Elephas maximus indicus: one gene and its partners. The main gene of each other region encodes a partner of the protein of the gene in region 3 in a complex. Links are inferred from orthologs where the notes say so. Each region holds a gene or a part of one and is shown on either strand. Other genes may lie near its edges.

Region 1 (7,523 bases), on a different chromosome or scaffold from region 3:
TACTGAAGATCCTGGACAGCTCTGAAGCATCCACTGATGCAGAGGTTAGTCTCAGGACTGAGCCCCCTTCACTGTCATCAAACATCTTGGTTCTGTAGCCACTCACCTGTATTCTGTGCCGTAACTGCTGAAACTTCTCTTTCACTTTAGCGTTCAGTTCAGTAAGTGCACTTAATGGTCCTGAACAATCGCGAATATCCTAGGACACATTGAAGAGAAGAAGGAGAAATTAAACCATCTGTACCGAGAGACAGTTCTCCTAGACCACAGCTAAGGTTGGCCTACTAACTGTCATTCATCCCAATATCTCGTTGACCTCTGCCACACAACCAAAACCATTATTATTTACATTTTTCTCATCCCGCTTCAGAATAATGTTGAACAGATAACATAAAAGCAAACCAAGAAATGCAACTCTGGCTTGACCTAGTTATTAGTCCCTAAATTTTTTTTTCTTTAAATTTTAATAAAGTAGCCCTGGTGGTACAGTGGTTAAAGTGCTCAGTTGCTAACCTAAAAGCTGGTCGTTCAAGCCCACCGGCCACTCCATAGGAGAAAGATGTGGCAGTCCGTTTCCATAAAGATTACAGCCTTGGAAAACTTATGGTGCAGTTCTACTCTGTCCTGTAGGGTTGCTATGAGTCAGAACCGACTCTGCGGCAATAAGCGTTTTTTTTTTTTTTTAAAGTTTAACAGGAGTCCCTGAGTGGTGCAAACTTCTGAAAAATCGGCCATTGAAAACCCAATGGAGCGCAGTTCTACTCTGACAAACATGGGGTTGCCATGAGTCAGAATCGACCAGAAAGCACCTGGTTGGTTAAAGTGTAACAAAACATCACCTGACCAGTATGAAGGGTTTATTATAACTTTAGATCTTTCCAACTTGAAAATCATGATGCTTATATTTCTGTCATCATACAAGATTAATGGTTTCAAACCATCTATTATAAATCACAATGTCTACAGACATATTTAGGGATTTAGAATTTGTTTCTGGACATTCAGAATTACTGGGGCTAGGTTTTAGAGTGGCTCTAGAACCAGACTATGTGTATCCAAATTCTGGCTGTAGCAATTTATTAGTTGTGTAAGTTTGAGAAAGTTACCTAAATTCTCTCTGTCTCAGTTTCCTTATTACTTATCTCAAAGACTATGTATGTTTAGAAAGCTTTGAGCAGAGCAGCTGGAACACAGTAAGTGGGCAGTGAATGTAGCTATTATGAATCTCTCTCATTAGCAATTACAAGAACCCAAATGTTAGAGAAAGGGGCCTAAACAATTTAGATTGTGTGAAAAGGTCATTTCATTTGTATGAGCTCTCAATTAATTTTTCTAGAGTTGTCTCAGAAGTTTTGTGGCTTAATACACATGAGATGTGATGTTCAAGTGTTTGCATCAAGTTTCTTCACTTGTTCTCTGGCTTACTCCTTAAATCACACACCCTTGCACCATATGATAAACTGCTAATTTGGTTTATTCTGCATATGTTCTACCCAAGAAGTCCTACTTTCCAAACTTTGCTTTTTGCCATAACTTGTTGCAAATTCTGAGTCTACGTCTAACATTTAATGACAGTTTGTTGGAAGCAAAAATGACTCGCTTAAAGCTAAGATTATATGAGACCAGAAGAACCGGATGGTGCCCAGCTACCATTACTGGACATTTTGATCAAAGATTCTATAGAAAAATCCTGGTCAAAAGGGGGGTAATGTGAAACAGATTTTCAAATTCTCATGGAATCTATAGACTTTCTGGAGCCATGGAGGCTGGATGAACCACTGAATCTACTGCCCTTAATCTTTAAACCTTAAAGCAAAAATATCTTCTAAAGTCTTCTTTAAACCAAACAACAGTTTAGCTTAATTTAGTAAAGAATGTCTGCCTTGAACATTGTGCTCTTTTTAAGATCTATCTCTACAGGATCAAATTGAGAACAGCAATTTGAAAGCTTAGATAGGAAACTTAAGGGGCAGTGAGTTTGTCAATGGGGGAGGAACAATTTAGAAAAAGAGGATGAGAATGGTTGCACAACTCAAAAGAATAATCAATGTCACTGAACTGTATATGTAGAAATTGTTGAATTGGTATATGTTCTGCTGCATATACTCTGAAGAACAAAAACAAATTTAAAAAAATTTAAAAACTAAGGTTTAAAACTCTGGATTTCCTTTTGGTAAACTTAGGGAACTACATTCCTAACTCTTGCTGTTGTCAACTGATTTATTGCACTACTGCCTCTCACCTTAAATGGTAGTTTAAGGGCCCTGATGATGGGTTAAAGCAAAACACTTCAATTCCCCCATACACTAAACAGAGGGACTCCCTAAAGTCCTTTCCCCGAGCAGACTTCTCTTGTCCCGGTCCTAGTTTTGCACCGTCTTTGGATTCAGGCATTCGCGCTTTACTCAATTTCCTCATTTGCGGTCCACGTTACATTCATTTCACCCGGTGCCTACATGCCAGGTGGTGCCACGGGGCACCCGGCAGGGCGCGGAGCTAATGGCCCCCCCGCGAGGCTATCGCGGGAAAGCGGGGGGGGGTGTCAAAGGCGGGGGCAAGCAGCCACTAAGAGGGGAATAACGGGGTGACAGGTATGTTGTGAGGTAGTCGGAGGCGGGGCAAGGCCAGGGAGGGGAGGCCACAAAGGGGAGGCTGGGCAGAGGCGGGCGACATGGGAGTGGTCCGAAAGGGAGCAAGCCAACGGCACCCGGATGGAGGATCAAGGCCAACAGTTACCAGGACTTGACCAAATGGGTACGACATAGGGGTACTCGGCCACCCGGCGGGGCCAAGAGTCTCGAAGAACTGACCAAGTGGGGACAGTTCGGGAGAGAGACCGCCGAGCGCCCAGGAGGCCGACGGAGCTTGGATTAGGGCGGCTGGAACCCGGCAGGGTTCTGGGAATTAGTACCTGGATAAGCGCCTTCACCTCCAGATCGAATTTGACAATCTCTTGGTTACAGATCCGGACGTGGACATCTTGGGGTGCCGCCATGTTGGGACGCCTACTACGGACAGCGGCGGTGCCCAAAGTTCAGATGCGTTTTCGCACCTCCTTCTTTCCCTCCCCTCCTCGTCTTGCAGCAGCGCCACCTTAAGACCGGTTTGAGTGTGGCAGGAGCGAGAGGTCGGCACCGAAACTTCTAACGCGGGCTCTTGATAGTCATTTGCAAAGGTTTCCTAATAACTAGGCATTCTGGCGGCTAAGTGGATGAGAGCTCAGTCTGTTAACCAAAAGGTGGGCAACTCGAATCCACCAGCCGCTCCTTGAAAACCCTATGGGGCAGTTCCACCCTGTCCACAGGGTCGCAGTGAGTCGGAATCAGCTCTACGGCACACAACAACCCCGACACATGGGGAAAATCAGCCTCGCCCCTTGGTTTTACTGTTATAAAACCAGGCCGAAGAGAATATCAAAAACGGCTGACAGTGGCCTTTCCCCGTCTTCCGCCAATCACTCTAATGACTTTTTAAATAGAAGGGAAAAAAAAGACTGGAAGAAAAATGGTAATTGGGATGTCTCTTAGCGGGTTCTGGGAAGTGGAATTAACAAGTTTTTAAATATTCCTTTAAACTTTTTCACACTTTCTAGAGTGAGTATAAATTGTGGGGTAAAAGAGAAAATGGTAAACATATATATATATATATATATATTTTTAACGTATGGAATTCAAGGCAAGTGGCTTGAGCACCTCCTGTCACCTCATCTCACTGTCCGGATATTTCTAGAACCCAGAATTGATTAAGTCACCTCCCTGCTTACACCCCTTCCATAGCTTCTGGTGGTTCTCCTTTGTGTACAATTGAATTTATTAATTCTACCTCACTGCAGTAGTTTTGATGTATTAAGTAAAATAATGTAAAAGCAGGCCCCCAACAAATTGTGGCTCTTTTATTTTTATTGTTGAACAGCTCGTTTCTTAGCTGGTCCTCAAGGTCGTGGGGCACCTTCCTGGATTCCTAAAGCTATGTCTGAATCTGTAGTCTTGTGATGTGTTGTTCCCTCTTCCTAGTGTTTCCTTCCCCATCCTCTCCTCCCCACATCCCACCCACTTTTCCCCAGCTCACTTCAATAAGCATCAGTTGTGAGGACCTGAGTGCCTGTTTCTCTTAATCCTTACAACCACCCTTGAAATAGGTAATGCCCTAGTGTTACGGATTGAATTGTGTCCCCAAAAAAGTTACTTTCTAGTTCTAACCTGTGAATGTGACCTTCTTTGTAAATAAGGTCTTTGCAGATGTTATGGATTACCATGAGGTCTTATTAAAGTAGGGTGGATCCTAATGGTGTGTTAATAAAAGAGGAGACACAGAGACAGAGGGAAGAGGGCCATGTGACCACAGCTGTGCTGCAGTTGCAAGCCAAGAAACAAGTCAATTCCAACTCAGAGGACAGAGTAGAACTGCCCCATAGGGTTTCCAAGGAGCGGCTGGTGGATTCAAACTGCCAATCTTTTGGTTCACAGCTTAACGCTGAACCACTGCACCACCAAGGCTCCAAAGCCAGGAGAGACAAGAAAGAATCTTCCCCTAGAGCCTTCAGACAGATCTTGGCCCTGCTGACACCCTGAATTCGGACTTTTCGTCTTCAGAACTGTGAGACAATAACTTTCTGTTCTTACAAGCCACCTGATTTGTGGTATTTTGTTATGGCAGCCCAAGGAAACGAATAGACCCTGTTTTACAGATCAGGGGACGGACTAAGTGGATTTTAAAAACCCGCCCCAAGGTTACCCAGCTTGAAAGTAGCAGAGCCATAGCTGAAATTCACATCTTCTCTCAAAACTCAAACGTGGCCCTTAGGTAGTGTTGTACAAGCAGAGCTATGGGACTTGCTTGCCCCTCTGTGTTCCTATAGCACTGGCACACCCCTCCCTTAAGGAGTTGTCATCCCACTTCATCTAACAGAGAGGCAGGGTTACGCAAGCTTGGGCATCCACCCTGGCTCAAATCCTGCTCTACTTGAATCTTGTTCTACAGCTCACTTGAGGGCTCTGTGCCTCATTCTCATCAGAGCCTAACACCTACTTCACAGGGTTAGTTTGGGGATTAAATGAGATAATACATGAAAAGCACCAGGCTCAATACCTGGCACATGGTAAGAGCTCAATGTGCATTAGCTGCTGTTAATACTGACATTTTTGAGCACTCCTTATGTCGCAGGCACTGTGTCCTAAGTGCTATGTATTCATCTCATTTAACCCTCCAAACAACTCTGTAAGGTACAACTATCTGCATTTTAAGATGAGGAAACAGGCACAGAGAAGAATAATGAATTGCCTAAGGCCACAGAACGAATGGAACTGCTAGGTCAAATGATATATGCATTTAAAAATTCTGGTACATTGCTCTCCACAGGAGTTATATCAGTTTACACTCCCACCAGCAACGTGGTACAAATGCCTGTTTTCCCATCCATGGTCTCACCAACATGCTGTGTTAACAGCTGGATTTTTGCCAATCTGCTTAGATGAAAATGCTATTCTTTAATTTGCATTCCTCTTATCATGAATGAGATTGAGGATCTTGTGTTGAAGAGCTATTTGTATTTGCATTTTAGTCTGCTCATTTTTCCTATCAATTTCTAGGAGCTCTTTATATATTAGGATTAGCACCTAGAGATGAGTTGCAAGTTTTTTTTCTGACTATAGAATTCTGACTTGGCTTATGGTCGCTATGAGACAGAATCGACGGCAATGGGTTTGGTTTGGTTTTTTTTTTTTTTTCTGGTTATGGTGTTCTATGGCTGTATTTTTTTTTTTTTTTCTCAGTTTTCATTCATGGCTCCTCAATTTGAGGTCCAAGTTAGAATGGCCTTCCCCACCCACAGGAGTTTAAAGGAACCCTTCCACATTTCTTTATAGTGTTTTTATGGTGTTTTTCTTTTTTACATTTACATCTTTATCCATTTTGAAATACATGCTGGCTTATGGTGTGAGGTATAGAACCAGCTTTACTTTTTTCAGATGGTTCCCTGGTTGTTCCAACACTATTTACTGAAGAATCCATCCTTTCCTTACTGGTTATGAATGACACATTTGCCATACTAAATTCACATACATATTTGGGTCTATTTCTAGACTTTCTATTCTGTTCTATTGGCCTATCTACTCATTCGTGCACTAAAATTATACTGGTTTCATAATTACAGTTTTATATTTTAATGTTTGTTAGGACTGAACACCCTTTTTTTTTTTCCCTCTAGCATCCTCTAACTTTTATTCCCCCCCCCCACCCGCATATGAATTTTAGTTTTGTCTTGCTTTTGAAACCCTACTGGTATGTTTTATTGGGATGGCATTAAAGTTTTATTTAACTGAGGAGGACTGATGGTTTTACGTTGATTGCTCCTGTTGAAGAGCTTGGCGTTATCTATTTGTTCACGTCTTCTTCTGTGTCCTTCAGGGTATTTTAAAGTTTCCTTTATCTAGACCTTGTATGTTTTCTGTTTACTCTTGATGATGTTTTAAGATTAAAACCTTTTGAAGAAACAGGTTGATGTTCTTCAGGCCACTTGAGCATTTTGGATCCTCAAATGTTAGCACCCTATGTAGGACTGCAGCAAAGCCCAATGCCTGCAGCTGTGATCTGCACACATAACCTTGGGCCCTTTTTACATCATGCATTTTGCTAGAAATTCCTATACAAGCAAGTCCCCAAGCTGCATGTCTATGCCGCAGCTAGAGAAAACACAGCTCCCTTTTTCTTTTTTTTTTTTTTTATACCATACTCTCTTCTAATAAAGACAGCCAATCCTAAACCATTCTGCTAGAAGCCACCTGTTAGGGACACGTGTGCAATCTGGTGACCCAGTGAGTGTCAGTCACTCACAATGCTCTTTTCCTTCACCAGTCACCTTTATCCATTGATTCTGAGACCAGCTTTTGATTGATCTGTTTGCTAGATTCTGGTTTTAGTTCTTTCTGGTTTTCAGATTATAAGCCCATTATTTCCCTTCTACACAAACATCTTTCAAAATCTTGCCTGTGTCTTGGCCTGGCACCTTAGAAATGAGTACAAATTATCTGTGTAGTGCAGCAAACAGAATGGAGTTTGAACTGGGGCTCTATATTAGCTGGGTCCGTGGCATGTCACCTGTAAAATGGCCATGACCACCAGCCTCACTTAGCTGTTGAGTAGCACCTGAGGTCCTTGATGGGAAAACCCCTAGCAGAAGCTTAATGAATGCTGCACCCCCAGGACTTTCTAACACCTTGGTATTCTGAACCTGCTAGCCAGGACATTAATGCATTTCCCAACTAATGTTTTTCCTTCTTTCAAATCCTCTTGTGTGGCTAAAGAGCTCACCTGGTTCCAAAATCACTGTCAGTGAAGAAGGGCAATTGAGTGACCCATCGAACTGGGTGCCACACATAGGTTTAGTTTCCCAAGGACAATACTCACCCTGTTCACCCAGCACCTTGAACTTCCCGTTACAGAAGCTCCTATGAGGAGTGGTTCTGAAAGGCCAAGTCCCGAAGCAGAACCAGTCCATGGGAAGCCACGACCACGGTGCTTCCTCA
Region 2 (7,830 bases), on a different chromosome or scaffold from region 3:
CTAAAGGAGGAGGAGCAGGTTGTGGGAGAGAGGAGGGCAAAAATGTATTAGGTCAATTTGGGACTATGCTAAGTTTTAGGTACCTAAAAGAGATGCCCCCACCACTCGACTGTCAGTTTGTCCTACTGTGGTGGCTTGCATGTTGCTGTGATACTGGAAGCTTTGCCACCAGTATTTCAAATACCAACAGGGTCACCCTTAGTGGACAGGTCTCAGAAACAGCTGCAAACATCCATTAATAAACACAACATGGGATGTATGAATAATGAATCTAGGAAAATTCTAAGTTGTCAAAAATGAAATAGGATGCATAAATATCAATATCCTAGGCATTAGTGAGCTGAAATGGACTGGTATTGGCCATTTTGAATTAGATAATCATATTGTTTACTACTTCGGGAATGACAAATCGAAGAGGAATGGCGTCACATTCATTGTCAAAAAGAACGTTTCAAGATCTATCATGAAGTGCAACGCTGTCAGTAATAGGATAATATCCATATGCCAACAAAGAAGACTGGAAATCCTGGTGGTGTAGTGGTTAACAGCTACAGTTGCTAACCAAAAGGTTGGCAGTTCGAATCCACCAGATGCTCCTTGGAAACCCTATGGGGCAGTTCTACTCTGTTCTCTAGGGTTGCTATGAGTCAGAATCAACTCGACAGCAGCGAGGACAAAAAGACCAGTTAATACAACTACTATTCAAATTTATGCACCAATCACTAAGGACAAAGATGAAGAAATTGAAGATTTTTACCAATATCTGCACTCTGAAATTGATCAAACATGCAATCAAGATGCATTGATAATTACTCGTGCTTGGAACGGGAAAGTTGGAAACAAAAAAGGATCAGTGGTTGGAAAATACAGCCTTGGTGATAGAAATGATGCTGGAGTTCATGTGACAGAATTTTGCAAGACCAATGACTTCTTCATTGCAAATACCTTTTTTCAACAACATAAACAGTGACTATACATGTGGACCAAGCCAGAATAGATGCACAAGAATCAAATTGACTCCATTTGTGGAAAGAACCAACAATGGAGAAGCTCAACATCATCAGTCAGAACAAGGCAAGGAGGTGTGGAACAGACCACCAATTGCTCATATGCAAATTCAACTTGAAGCTGAAGAAAATTAGAGCAAGTCCATGAGAGCCACAATGTGACCTTGAGTGTATCCCACCTGAATTTAGAGACCACCTCGGGAATAGATTTGACACATTGAACACTAATGACTGCAGACCAGAAGAGTTGTGGAATGACATCAAGGACATCATATATGAGGAAAGCAAGAGGTCATTAAAAAGACAGGAAAGAAAGAAAAGACCAAAATGGATGTCAGAAGAGACTTTGAAACTTGCTCTTGAATGTCAAGTAGCTAAAGCGAAAGGAAGAAATGATGAAGTAAAAGCGCTAGACAGAAGATTTCAAGGGGCAGCTCGAGAATACAAAGTATTCTAACGACATGTGCAACGACGTGGAGTTAGAAAACCAAAAGAGTAGAACAGGCTCAGCATTTCTCAAACTGAAAGAACTGAAGAAAAAATCCAAGCCTCGAGTTGCAATATTGAAGGATTCCACAGGGAAAATATTGAACGACACAGGAGACATCAAAAGAAGATGGAAGGAATATACAGAGTCACTATACAAAAAAAGAATTGGTAAATGTTCAACCATTTCAGGAGGTAGCATATGATCAAGAACCAAAGGTACTTAAGGAAGAAATCCAAGCTGCACTGAAGACATTGGCAAAAAACAAGGCCCTAGGAATTGATAGAATACCAACTGAGATGTTTCAACAAACAGATGCAGCACTGGAGGTGCTCACTTGTCTATGCCAAGAAATTTGGGGACAGCTGCCTGGCCAACTGACTGGAAGAGATCCATATTTGTGCCCATTCCAAAGAAATATGATCTAACAAAATTTGGAAATTATCAAACAATAGCTTCAATATCACACACAATTAAAATAATGCTCAAAATCACTTAAAGGCTGTTGCAGCAGTGCATCGACAGGGAACTGCCAGAAATTCACCAGATTCAGAAGAGGATGTGGAACCAGGGATATCATTGCTGACATCAGATGGATCCTGGCTGAAAGCAGAGAATACCAGAAAAATGCTTGCCTGTGTTTTATTGACTATGAAAAGACATTCGACTGTGTGAGTCATAACAGATTACGGATAACATTGCGAAGAATGAGAATTCCAGAACACTTAATTGTGCTCATGCAGAACCTGTACACGGACCAAGAGGCAGTCATTCAAATAGAATAAGTGGGTACTGTGTGGTTTAAAGTCAGGAAAGGTGGGCGTTGGGGTTGATCCTTTCACCATATTTATTCAATCTGTATGCTAAGCAAATAATCCGAGAAGCTGGACTATATGAAGTAGAATGGGGCGTGAGGATTGGAGGAAGACTCATTAGCAACCTGTGACAAGCAGATGATACAACCTTGCTTGCTGAAAGTGAAGAGGTCTTGAAGCACTTATTGATGAAGAACAAAGACCACAGCCTTCAGTATGGATTACACCTCAACATAAAGAAAACAAAAATCCTCACAACTGGACCAATGAGCAACATCATGATAAACGGAGAAAAGATTGAAGTTGTCAAGGATTTCATGTTACTTGGATCCACAATCAACACCCATGGAAGCAGCAGTCAAGAAATCAAAAGACGCATTACATTGGGCTGCAAAAGACCTCTTTAAAGTGTCAAAAAGCAAAGACGTTACTTTAAGGGCTAAGGTGAGCTTGACCAAGGCCATGGTATTTTCAGTCATCTCATACGCATGTGAAAGCTGGATAATAAATAAGGAAGCCTGAAGAAGAATTGAAGACTTTGAATTACAGTGTTGGTGAAGAATATTGAATATACACTGGACTGCCAGAAGAACGGACAAATTTGTCTCGGAAGAAGTACAACCAGAATGCTCCTTGGAAGTGAGGATGGCCATACTTCGTTGTACGTACTTTGGACATGTTATCAGGAGGGAGTAGTCCCTGGACAAGGACATGAAGTAGAGGGTCAGTGAAAAAGAAGAAGACCCTCAATGAGATGGATTGACACAGTGACTGCAACAATGAGCTCAAGCATAACGATTGTGATAATGGCTCAGGACCGGACAGTGTTTACTTCTGTTGTACATTGGATTGCCATGAGTCGGAACCAACTCCACAGCACATAACAACAACAACAAAAAGAAGAGATGTCTAGCTGTCATTAGATATTTGGGTCTGAATTACAGGAGTCTTGTCTAAACAAACAAACAAACAAATTCCATTGCCACAGTCAGGAGTGGATTCTGACTCATAGTGACCCTATAGGACAGAGTAGAATTGCCACATAGAGTTTCCAAGGAGCAGCTGGTGGATTCAAGATGGATTAGAACAGCCCACCTTCCGGTTAGCAATCGAGCTCTTAACCACTCTGCCACCAGGGCTCCACTTCCTATATGTGGATATCACCAGTATATAGATGATAATCAAAGCAATAAGAATAGTTAAGGTCATCCAGGAAGAGTGTGAAGACTAAGAAGAGAGTGTAGGGCATAGCCCTATGGAACAGGAACATTTCAAAGGAAAATGAAAAGCTTCCACAGAGGTGGGAGGGGAACCGGGAGGGTGCAGCGTCTTGGAAGGTAAGAGAATAGAGGGCTTTAAGAAGGAGGGAATAATCAACCATATAAAATATTTCTTTTAAAATATTTCAGAGTTGAAGTAAGATAATTACTGAAAAGTGCCTTTGGTTTTAGCAACACTGTTGAGAATTGTAACTGGGAGGATAAGGTGGGGGAAAGACCGCTACCTTAAGTCTGAGTGTGGACAGGGGATTGAGGTTGAGGCAGAAGGGTTCTTCGATGGAGCTAGACTCTGAGCTAGGCAGGAGCGAACGGGGATATAAGGGGTGGGAGGGGGCGCTTAGATCAAAGGAGAGTAGTTTATTGTTGTTGTTATTGTTATTGCAAAAGAATTGCAAAAGAATAGGAGAGAGGGTAGGTGAGTGGTAGAAGGAGTTTAGAAAACTTCCTGGCGAAAGTAGAGGGAGTTGCTGTTGGATGAATTCTATTTTGTCAGTGAAGTAACAGGCGAAGTCATTTGCTGGGACTAAGCCAGGAGGTGGCAGGGCAAGCCTGGCTCTTCATTTATCACACTGACTCCATGGTGGTAGACTCTTTCTGTGGTCCTTCAAACGAAAAATCAAATCAAACCCGTTGCGGCGACCCTATAGAACAGAGTAGAACTGCCCCCATTGGGTTTCCAAGAAGCCCTGATGGTACAGTGGTTAAGCATTAAACTGCTAACCAAAAGGTCAGCAGTTCAAATCCACCAGCTGCTCCTTGGAAACCCTATGGGAGGCAGTTCTACTCTGTTCTATAGGGTCGCTATGGGTCGGGTCGACAGCAATGGGTTTTAATCTTTATGGCAGCCTACTGCCACATCTTTCTCCCTGGAAGCAGGTGGTAGGTTCTAACCGCCAACCTTCCGGTTAGTAGCCGAATGTTTAACCACTGCGCCACTGGGGCCCCTTGTGGTCCTGGAACTTCTAATTTGCCCAGTGTTGGTATAGCGCTTGGCACATAGTTTACAACAAGGAAGAGCGTTGAGGAAACATGTGACAAACTTGACGATATGACGGTCTGAACTACCATCCCCAGAATGCAGTGCGGCCTCTGGGAAGTGCAGGGCTGGGAAAGCAACTGGCCTCGCCCCTCCACCCACTCCCATTGGAGGAGTGCTCACATTCCCAAGAGGCCGCGCGCGAGCCGGGTGCTTTACGCGGAAGTCGGAGGCGCTCCAGTCCCAGCCTCCTGTGGGAGCGCGCTGTAGGCGGTGTCTCGCTAACTCCCGCTTTTCTGTGTCGAGCCCGCGCGCGTCCTCCGAGGGTGCCAGGACAGGTAAATGGAGCGGGGCGCGCTCGACAGGAGAGAGGGAGAATTCAGCAGAGGGAGGGTGACGGTGTTGACGGGAAGGTGCTGGGGGTGGAGCGAGGAGGCAGTGCAAAGGTGACTCGGTCTTCTCTGGTGTCAACAGTTCGATTTGTCGGGCAAGTCGAGTTTGGGCGAAGTCCGTTTTATGGCGCTGATAAGGCCTCGAGTTAAAGAGATTCGGAATGTGTTGCTTCAGCTGTTACAGGAGGGAAAAATGCTAACTTTATGTCGGTTCTCATTCTGTCGGATCTGTGTGTAGCATTTGAATCTCTCGATCACTGAGTCTTCTTAAAATTCCTCTCCACATCCTTGTTTCGATGGCGTCACTCATCTGGTTCACCTTCGACTTCTGGCTTTGAGGTATTCTTTGTACACACCTGGGCCCCTGCGCGCCCCCTCTCCACCGCCTGATGTTGGCGTTCCTCTTCCTCCTAAATTCGGGCCCAGACCTGTTTCCTGAGCATCAGCCCTGTATCTGTCATCACCATTGTTATTAGTGGCCAATATTTGTCAAACTCAGACTATGTATGAGACTCCTTAGGAAATGCTTTACATCTCCCTCACCCATAACCTCCACAAACAATTGGTTATCAAGTCCTTTTCTTTCTGTTTTATTAATTGCTGTCAACTACCTGTACCTGCATTCTCCCACTCTTGATCCCAGAGGATACTGTCACATTTGAGAGACTCTTTTTATAGGGTGGCTATAAGTCGGAATCAACTCCACGCAATGGTTTTTTTTGGGGGGGGGTTTCTCTTTGAATAGCGGTGGCTGAGAACAGATTCATTCATTAGTTTAACAAATATTTCTTGAACAGCTAATATACACTTAGTCTTCTACATGTTAGAGATACAGCAGTAAACAAGACATGGAGGTCACTACTCTCAGAAGCTTACATGTTTGTGGGGGGTGGCAGGTGGGTTCAAACAGGAATAAATAAGATGATTTTATATGGTGGTTAATGCAAAATAAAACACATGGTTGACTTGACAGGGTAGAATCCTATCCTGAGAAAGACAGAGGGATTGGATTGTGTCTCAGAGCATCACCCAAAAAGAACATCTGTAATAATAACAATAGTCTTGATCTCTCACCAGGCTTCTTGTTGTATGCCATTGAGTCTACTCTGACTCATAGCAACCCAATGTGACAGAGTAGAACTGCTCCATAGGGTTTTCTAGATGGCACAGTGGTTAAGAGCTATGGCTGCTAACCAAAAGGTTGGCAGTTCGCACCCACCAGGTGCTCCTTGGAAACCCTATGGGGCACTTCTACCCCATCCTGTATAGGGTTACTATGAGTCGGCATCGCCTCCACAACAAACGGTTTGGGTTTTTTTTTTTTCTTAATCTTTATGGGAGCAGAGTGCTAGGTCTTTCTCTGGTGGAGTCAGAGTGGGTTCAAACCACCAACCTTTCTGTGCCACCAGGGCTTCTTCTGACTAGGCTTAGGGTTTTTTTTTTAATACATATATCACCTTCCCCTAAACTCCTGGTCTGTCATAGCAACGGTTGTTCTTTCTTCTTCTGTCTACTCTAAGATTATTACATCAGAGTTGGTGGTTTAGCTCTCATTGGTTTATTTCCTCTTAAGACCCAGACAGAAGAGTCTGGGTTGGATTACTATCAGCTCAACTGCTTTATCTTACTTGAGGAGATACTTTGGTAATGAAAATATTCTTGTAGCCAGGTCCTATTGTCTATAAAGTTATCTATCATTTATAAACCCAAAACAAAAAAAACCCAGTGCCATCAAGTCGATTCGGACTCATAGTGACCCTATAGGACAGAGTAGAACTGCCCCATAGAGTTTCCAAGGAGCGCCTGGCGGATTCAAACTGCCAACCTCTTGGTTAGCAGCCGTAGCACTTAAACACTGTGTCACCAGGGCTTCCCTATCATTTATAGTATAGTTAAAATCAAAACATGCTTGGTATTGACTCACTTATTTGTTCAACAAATATTTGAGGGAACGTCATATGATAGGCACTGTGCTGGGTGCTGGAAACGTAAACCAAAAAACCCAGACCCCTTGCCGACTCATAGCGGCCCTATAGGACAGAGTAGAACTGCCCCGTAGGGTTTCCAAGGCTGACATCTTTATGGAAGCTGACTGCCATGTCTTTCTCCCACGGAGCGGCTGGTGAGTTCGAAGTGCAGAACTTTTGGTTAGGAGCCAAGCACTTAACAAGGAGCTTGCAGGGCTCCTTGTACTGGGAATATAGTGAGGGTGAAATAGACTTTGACCTCTTCTCCAAGGGGAAATGATCATAACATTATACTGAGGGAATTCCTGTAACACATAAACTGACACGTGCATTCTTTTTTCTTCATCCAAATTGACTAGCCAAACTTTAGGAAATTTCCTCAGTGATCGTATATATTCTTAGGTTATTTACCTATACTTTCTGCAGTTATTTGTTTATGTCTGCCTTCCCCATTGTACTATGGATCCCTTGAGTATAGGGAACCTTCCTTACTCATCTTCATACCTCCAGAGTCTATCACACTGGCTGCCATATAGTAAACCCTCAGTACATGTTGAACTGAAATAGACTCTTTGATCAAACCCAAATTTCTACAAATCCTTTTATCAGCCTTATCCCTCAACTTTCTCACTCACCAAATGTGGGCCATTCCATCTCACCTTTACCTTTCCTAGCTTGTTCTCACCTGTGCTGTATTCCATAGCTCGCTCCTAAAATGAATTCCCTTCTCTTTCCTGAGCACCTTGTGTACCACCCCCATTACTTTGATGGGCCAATTAATTTAATAGTGTACCCCATGATACAGAAGTGGAAAATTTAATTTCCATTGTTTCTTTACTATTAAACATTCTGTTAATGAACTGTTGCAAGAATTCACATCCCCTTGCAATGATATAATGATAGAGA
Region 3 (7,067 bases):
TAAGAACCAGTTTTAATACATATACTAATTGCAAGAAGGCACAAATAGTTAAGTGCTAGACTAGTTCTAGCCAAAAGGCTGTAGGTTCAAAGGCATCCAGAGGTGCCTGGAAAGAAAGACTTGACAGGTGATCTTCCAAATGTTCACAGCCTTGAAAACCCTATGGAGCAGTTCTACTCTGCACACACAGGGTTGCCATGAGTCAGAAATCAACTCGATGGCAACTAAAAACAACAACATAGTTGTGCATCCTCTTTAAAAGAATAAGCAAACCTGCTTATCAATGAGGTCTTTAATTAAAACTGGACCTCGAAGCAAAGAAGGAGCCTTGGTGGTACAGTGGTTAAAACGCTCAGCTCTTAATTGAAAGGTCGGCAGTTTGAACCCACCGGCTACTCCCTGGAGAAAGATGGAGCAGTTTGCTCCCATAAAGACTTACAGCCTTTAAAACCCTGGGGGGCAGTTCTACTCTGTCCTATAGGGTCGCTCTGAGTTGGAGTCGGCTGAACCGCAATGTGTTTGGTTTTGGTTGGTTGAAACAAAATTCAGAAAAAATTAACTGGCTGATGTCTTAGTTCTCTAGTGCTGCTAAAACAGAAATACCACAAGTGGGTGGCTTTAACAAATTTATTTTCTCACAGTTTAGGAGGCTAGATGGCTGAATTCAGGGCTTCAGCTCTAGGGGAAGATCCTTGTCTCCTTTCAACATCTGTGGGCCTGGCATTCCTTTGGAGATCTTCATGTGCCTTGGCATCTATCGTTCCGTGAGTCTAGCAGGTTCTCAGCACAGGGGCCCCAGGTCCAAAGGATGTGCTCTGCTCTGGCTCTTTTTTCGTAGTTGTGAGGTCCCTCCCTTTTCTGCTCACTTCTCTCTCCTCTTATTGTTGCCAGGAACTCCAGGTCCTGCTCGATGCAACTCATCAAAGCCAATAAACAAGAGGCTGAGGTGGGAGATCAGAAAGGCAACTTTATTTCCTTGCAAGGAAAGGAACAGTCGGGGCTGGTGTCTCCAAGACTATTCAAGGATAAAGTTTAGGGAGGTCGCTTTTATAGAGCTTACAAGCAGGGAGATCATGTGAATTACAACAGCAACATTCTAAATCATGCTACGGCAGGGGGTTACATAAAACTTCACAGTACATGTGTTTAAAGGCTGTAAGTCTTTATGGGAGCAAACTGCTCCATCTTTCTCCAGGGAGTAGCCGGTGGGTTCAAACTGCCGACCTTTCAATTAAGAGCTGAGCGTTTTAACCACTGTACCACCAAGGCTCCTTCTTTGCTTTTTTAGGGGTGGAAAAATTGGTACCTACGAGGAAATTAATGAGCCAAATTTAACTGTAGGTCTCTTGAACTAGTTTGAACCAGCACTCGGTGGCTTACTTGTCTTGCCTGAAAAAGAAAATACAAGCTCTGAGGTGTGATCTCCACTGTGGGATTTTTCCCACAGTATCAAAGGCTGCTGCTTTATTACTTCGTATAAGATAAAAGGTGTGACTCAAGCAAGGGTATGACTCAAGCAAGGGTGTGACTGGAGTAGGGGTGTGAGCTAAGTAAAGCTGTGACTCAAGATCCACCTCACACTGATCCTGCCTCATTAACATATAGAGGTTAGGATTTACAACACATCACAAAATGGAGGATAATTACATCAGGTTACAAAATGGAGGACCACCACACAACACTGCAAATCATGGCCTAGCCAAGTTGACACATACTGGGGGGAGAGGGGCAGACACAATTCAATTCATGACAGCTGACTTGCAGCCAACTTAAGCAAATATTATGACTTGAGTTAGCGATTGGTGACACAAGAGGCACTCTTTCATCCTTATATCCAGTTGATAAATTCCTACTCATCCTTCAAATCTCTGCTCAGGTGGTAACTTCTCTGTGATCCTCTTCCCCACCACAAATAATAAGGATAATATTAACAGCAGCTAATATTTACTGGAATTAGTCGATGTTCAACCATTTCAAGAGGTGGCATATGATCGGGAACCGATGGTGCTGAAGGAAGAAGTCCAAGCTGCTCTGAAGGCATTGGCAAAAAACAAGGGTTCAGGAATTGATGGAATATCAATTGAGATGTTTCAACAAACAGATGCAGCACTGGAGGTGCTCACTCGTCTATGCCAAGAAATATGGAAGACAGCTTCCTGGCCAACTGACTAGAACAGATCCATATTTATGCCTATTCCCAAGAAAGGTGATCCAACCAAATGCGGAAATTATCAAACAATATCATTAATATCACACGCAAGCAAAATTTCACTGAAAATCATTCAAAAATGGCTGCAGCAGAATATCAACAGGGAACTTCAGGCTGGTTTCAGAAGAGGACACAGAACCAGGGATATCATTGCTGATGTCAGATGGATCCTGGATGAAAGCGGAGAATACCAGAAGGATGTTTACCTGTGTTTTATTGACTATGCAAAGCCATTCGACTCTGGATTATAACAAATTGTGGATAACATTATGAAGAATGGGAATTCCAGAACAGTTGTGCTCGTGCTGAGCCTTTACATAGATTAAGAGGCAGTTGTTTGGACAGAACAAGGGGCTACTGATTGGTTTAAAGTCAGGAAAGGTGTGCGTCAGGGTTGTATTCTTTCACCATACTTATTCAGTCTGTATGCTGAGCAAATAATCTGAGAAGCTGGACTATATGAAGAGGAACGGGGCATCAGGATTGGAGCAAGACTCATTAACAACCTGCATTATGCAGATGACACAACCTTGTTTGCTGAAAGTGAAGAGTCTTAAAGCACTTACTAATGAAGATCAAAGACCACAGCCTTCAGCATGGATTACACCTCAACATAAAGAAAACAAAAATCTTCACAACTGACCAATGAGCAACATCATGATAAATGGAGAAAAGATTGAAGTTGTCAACGATTTCATTTTACGTGGATCCACAATCAACAGCCATGGAAGCAGCAGTCAAGAAATCAAAAGACGCATCTCGTTGGGCAAATCTGCTGCAAAGAACTTCTTCAAAGTGTTGAAAAGCAAAGATGTCACCTTGAGGACTAAGGCCAAGCCATGGTATTTTCAATCGCATCATATGCATGTCAAAGCTGGACAATGAATAAGGAAGACCAAAGAAGAACTGATGCCTTTAAATTGTGGTGTTGGCGAAGAATATTGAATATACCATGGACTGCCAAAAGAACGAACAAATCTGTCTTGGAAGAAGTGTGGCCAGAATGTTCCTTAGAAGCAAGGATGGCGACACTGCGCCTTACATACTTTGGACATGTCGTCAGGAGGGATCAGTCCCTGGAGAAGGACATCATGCTTGGCAGAGTACAAGGTCAGCGGAAAAGAGGAAGACCCTCAACGAGGTGGATTGACACAGTGGCTGCAAGAATGGGCTCAAGCATAGCAACGATTGTGAGGATGGCGCAGGACCGGGCAGTGTTCCGTTCTGTTGTGCATAGGGTCGCTGAGTCGGAACCGGCTCGACGGCACCTAACAACAACAACAACGACATTTACTGGTCACTTCCTAGGAGCCAGGCCACACCAAAAACACTTCACACGCCTTAACTGACAATTCTCACAACGACCCTGAGACGGGTCGGCTCCACTTTAGGGACGAGCTGCTCCATCCGTGTCCCTTGGACACTGCTCTGTCCCTGCCCTGCGACACGCACACTGTGACCCCCTGAGGTCAAAGGACAAGCCCGTTTGGCCTCCGCGTCCCCCGAGATTCGCCCGGCCCAGGCTCAATCAGGGCGGGAGCCACGAGAAAGGAACGAGCCGTCCGGCTTTCCGATCCTGCTGTCCCGGACCCATACTCCCCAAAGCCGTACACGACGGTCGGGGACCCAGAGTCACTCGGCGCGGCCAAGCCCGGGGGGTTTTCGGGGAGAAGAAAAGGACGCCGGTGAGCACTTCCAGGCAGCTTCCGGGATCCGCCCCGAGCGCCAGCGCGAGGCCGGAACCTTTCTCCTCGCTCCGCGGTAGCTCGGCGGAGGCCGGAACCTTTCTCCTCGCGCTGCGGTTGCTGGACGGAGGCGTGCGGGAGAGAACGGTCCTCTCGCAGCCGGGTTCGCAGCGCGTCGCCGGCTGCTGACGTGGGGGGCCCTGTGGGGACCGCGGGTGCGGGTCGCCATGGCGGTGGACATCACGCTGCTGTTCCGGGCCAGCGTCAAGACCGTGAAGACGCGGAACAAGGCGCTGGGAGTGGCGGTGGGCGGCGGGGCAGATGGCAGCCGCGACGAGCTGTTCCGCCGGAGCCCTCGGCCCAAGGGAGACTTCTCCAGCCGGGCCCGAGAAGTGGTGAGCTGGTTGCTATGGAAACGGCGGGCGGGAGCCGGGCGCGGACCCGCGGCGTGGACCCCTAGACCCCCAAAGTGCACCCGGTCCCGCAGGCATTGTGCGAAAGAAACGCCTGGAAGAAGGGGTCGCAGGAGGGAGCAGCCGAGCTGGCTTCTGAGAGCCGGCAGCTGTCTGGGGAAAGGAACGCCATGCGTTTGGGGAAATTAAGGAAGCCGATTTGTCTTGGGCGGAAGGAGGCGCTCGGAAACCTGCGTCTGCAGAGTTCCCGGGTGTGTGTGGCAATGACTTCGCCGTCACTGCGCCTGGACGCGGAGGCAGCTCCCCCGCAGCCCCCTGCTCCCCTGTCGCCTCGCCGGCCACGCTGCCATCGCCTCTTCTGTTCACTTGTCCCATCGTCCTTCCTCGAATTGAGATTAAAGGCCATGCCTGATTCAGCTGTCCTCTCCCCTCCCCTGGCCTCCTGCAGGAGGTTAGGGCACAAGGTAGATAGAATTCAGCACTTTTTTTTTTTTTTTAATTTATTGCGCTTTAGGTTAAAGCTTGCAGAGCAAATTAGTTTCTCATTAAACAGTTAATACACATACTGGTTTGTGACATTGGTTGCCAACCCCGCAACATGTCAACACTCTCTCTGTCTCCACCTTGGGTTCCCCATTTGCAATGGTCCAGCTTTCCTGTCCCCTCCTGCCTTCTCATCCTTGCCCCTGGGCTGGTGTGACCGTTTAGTCTCATATACATGGTTGAACTACGTGTATTATTGTTTGTTTTGTAGGCTTGTCTGATCTTTGGCTGAAGGATGAGAATTCAGTACTTCTTGAGACTGGTTTAGGATCAGCTTTCACAAACACTCCATGTGTCAGTCATCCAAACTACTTTCTGTTTCCTGAACACTGCAAGCTTTCCTCATCTCTCTGAGCAGGGACCTTCTCCTTAAGGGCAGGAACAGTGCTGGCTTCATTTCAGAATCCCCAATGCTTGACTCATAGCATTGCTTAGTAAATGTTGAGTGAATGAATGAACAGATGGTTGTCAGCCTTCCCCCACTAAACAGTAAACTCTGTAAGAAGAGAGAAAATGTTTGCCTTGTTCACTTTTGTATCCTTGGCACCAAAAATGGATCTAGTTTTTGTGGGGTCTAAAGCTCATACAGTTTTGTCTGCCCTCTGTGAGAAATAAAAATACAAAATTACAGAAAAAATCAGGTTTAGAGCTTTGGGAAAAGTATAAGTGAGGGGCCCTGATGTTTAAGGTTCTAATATCAACTTCACAGTAAATCCACGTTAGCTTGGCACGCAGTTCAATGCCTGGCAGTGTGTAGACACTCAGGTATTTTTGAATCAATGTATGCATGCATGAACCAACGAAGGGCAGTTTGCAGGGGATATTAAAGCATTAGAAGGGGGATTAGGCTAGATGAATACATTTAGTTCATTAACAAGCATCTTTTAAGCACCTACCTTCTAACCAGCACTGTGTTAGGGTAACACGATAGAAAAGGAGTGATGGCAGAGGCAGACATACGAACAAAACAAGTGCCATAAAACTTTGTAGGTGGTGGGATAGAAATATGTGTCAGGCACAAAGGAGAGTGTGATCAGTTCTACCTGAGGACCAGGAAGGGTTTTCTAGAGCCAGTCATGCCTGGAACAAGTCTCGAAAGATTTGGTTCCTGTTCAGACAGGTTGGGGGAGGGCATCTCAGGCTAAGAGAGCAGTGTGCACAAAAGCATGGAGATAGGTAACAGCCTAACATAAGTTGGTTCAATTAGTATTTGAGTGTGACTGGAATTCAGGACACCCAGAAAAATTCAACTGGAGGGGCAGGCAGTGGCGGATCTCAAAGGGCCTTGTATACCACTCTGCTGAGTGTGGACTTCGTCCTGTAGGCAGTCAGGTATTATGTGGTAGAAAGACACCCAAGAAGGAGCCAGGAGACCAGGCTGTTGGCTTAACCCTGCCACATTAGCCGCGTGATGCTGCTGTTAAGCAAGTTTTATGACCTCAGTTTATTTACCTGCAAATGGTGCCCTCCTTTTTTGTTCTTATTAAAAGAAGGCTTTTAAAAACTACAGTGATCCCTTATATATAACAGATCAAAGGGGGGCTTCTTGGATGGAAATGAGAGGAAGGGAAATCAAGACATTCTTCCTCCCCTGCCCCCAGTCAGGCCGAGGCCGTTCCTGGGTACCTCTGTGACTCTGAATGAGGCATTGATGGTTCAGTGGTAGGATTCTCTCCTCCCTTGCAGGAGACCTGGGTTTAATTTCTGGCCAGTACACCTCACGAGCAGCCACCACCCCTCTATCTTTGGAAGCTTATGTGCTGCTATGATGCTGGGTATATTTTAGCGGAGCTTTCAGACTAAGGTGGGCTAGGAAGAAAGGCCTGGCGATCTTCCAAAAATCAACCAATGAAAACCCTGTGGATCACACTGGAACACTGTCCAGTTCGCCACCACTTATGGGGACGGTGCAGGAGTGGGCATTGTTCCGTTCCGTGGTGCCTGGGCTGCCCTGAGTCAGAGCCAACTGGACAGCAGCCAATTACAGCGTTCCGACTCTCAGATCACTGATTCGTCAACACTGCTGATTCTGAGTCCTCAGGGAGGTGTCAAGACTTGGAGATCCTGCTAAGCAGGGACGGGAGCTGTGTCACTCGGAGCCGCTGTCCCTCCTGCCGTAGGGCGAACACGCACACTTCCGAGAACTGTGTTTTAACGTTGCAGTTGCTTTACGTGTCACCTGCTGGTCTTGCGACCCTGCCTCCCTCCCTCCGTCCG

What was found.
Region 1: STX18 (region 3) and BNIP1 share a complex: the UniProt entries of both Homo sapiens proteins name them as parts of the SNARE complex. The link is inferred for Elephas maximus indicus from reciprocal best matches to the Homo sapiens genes STX18 and BNIP1.
Region 2: STX18 (region 3) and VAMP7 share a complex: the UniProt entries of both Homo sapiens proteins name them as parts of the SNARE complex. The link is inferred for Elephas maximus indicus from reciprocal best matches to the Homo sapiens genes STX18 and VAMP7.

Annotation. Positions count from the first base shown.
Region 1 is NC_064820.1:192,250,205-192,257,727, reverse strand, and holds the start of BNIP1 (vesicle transport protein SEC20), read right to left. Parts: upstream 3,031-7,523; 5' UTR 2,996-3,030; coding exon 2,912-2,995; intron 200-2,911; coding exon 107-199; intron 1-106. UniProt on the Homo sapiens protein: As part of a SNARE complex may be involved in endoplasmic reticulum membranes fusion and be required for the maintenance of endoplasmic reticulum organization. Also plays a role in apoptosis.
Region 2 is NC_064846.1:109,640-117,469, reverse strand, and holds the start of VAMP7 (vesicle-associated membrane protein 7), read left to right. Parts: upstream 1-4,764; 5' UTR 4,765-4,903; intron 4,904-7,830. UniProt on the Homo sapiens protein: Involved in the targeting and/or fusion of transport vesicles to their target membrane during transport of proteins from the early endosome to the lysosome. Required for heterotypic fusion of late endosomes with lysosomes and homotypic lysosomal fusion.
Region 3 is NC_064823.1:156,987,059-156,994,125, reverse strand, and holds the start of STX18 (syntaxin-18), read left to right. Parts: upstream 1-4,017; 5' UTR 4,018-4,121; coding exon 4,122-4,289; intron 4,290-7,067. UniProt on the Homo sapiens protein: Syntaxin that may be involved in targeting and fusion of Golgi-derived retrograde transport vesicles with the ER.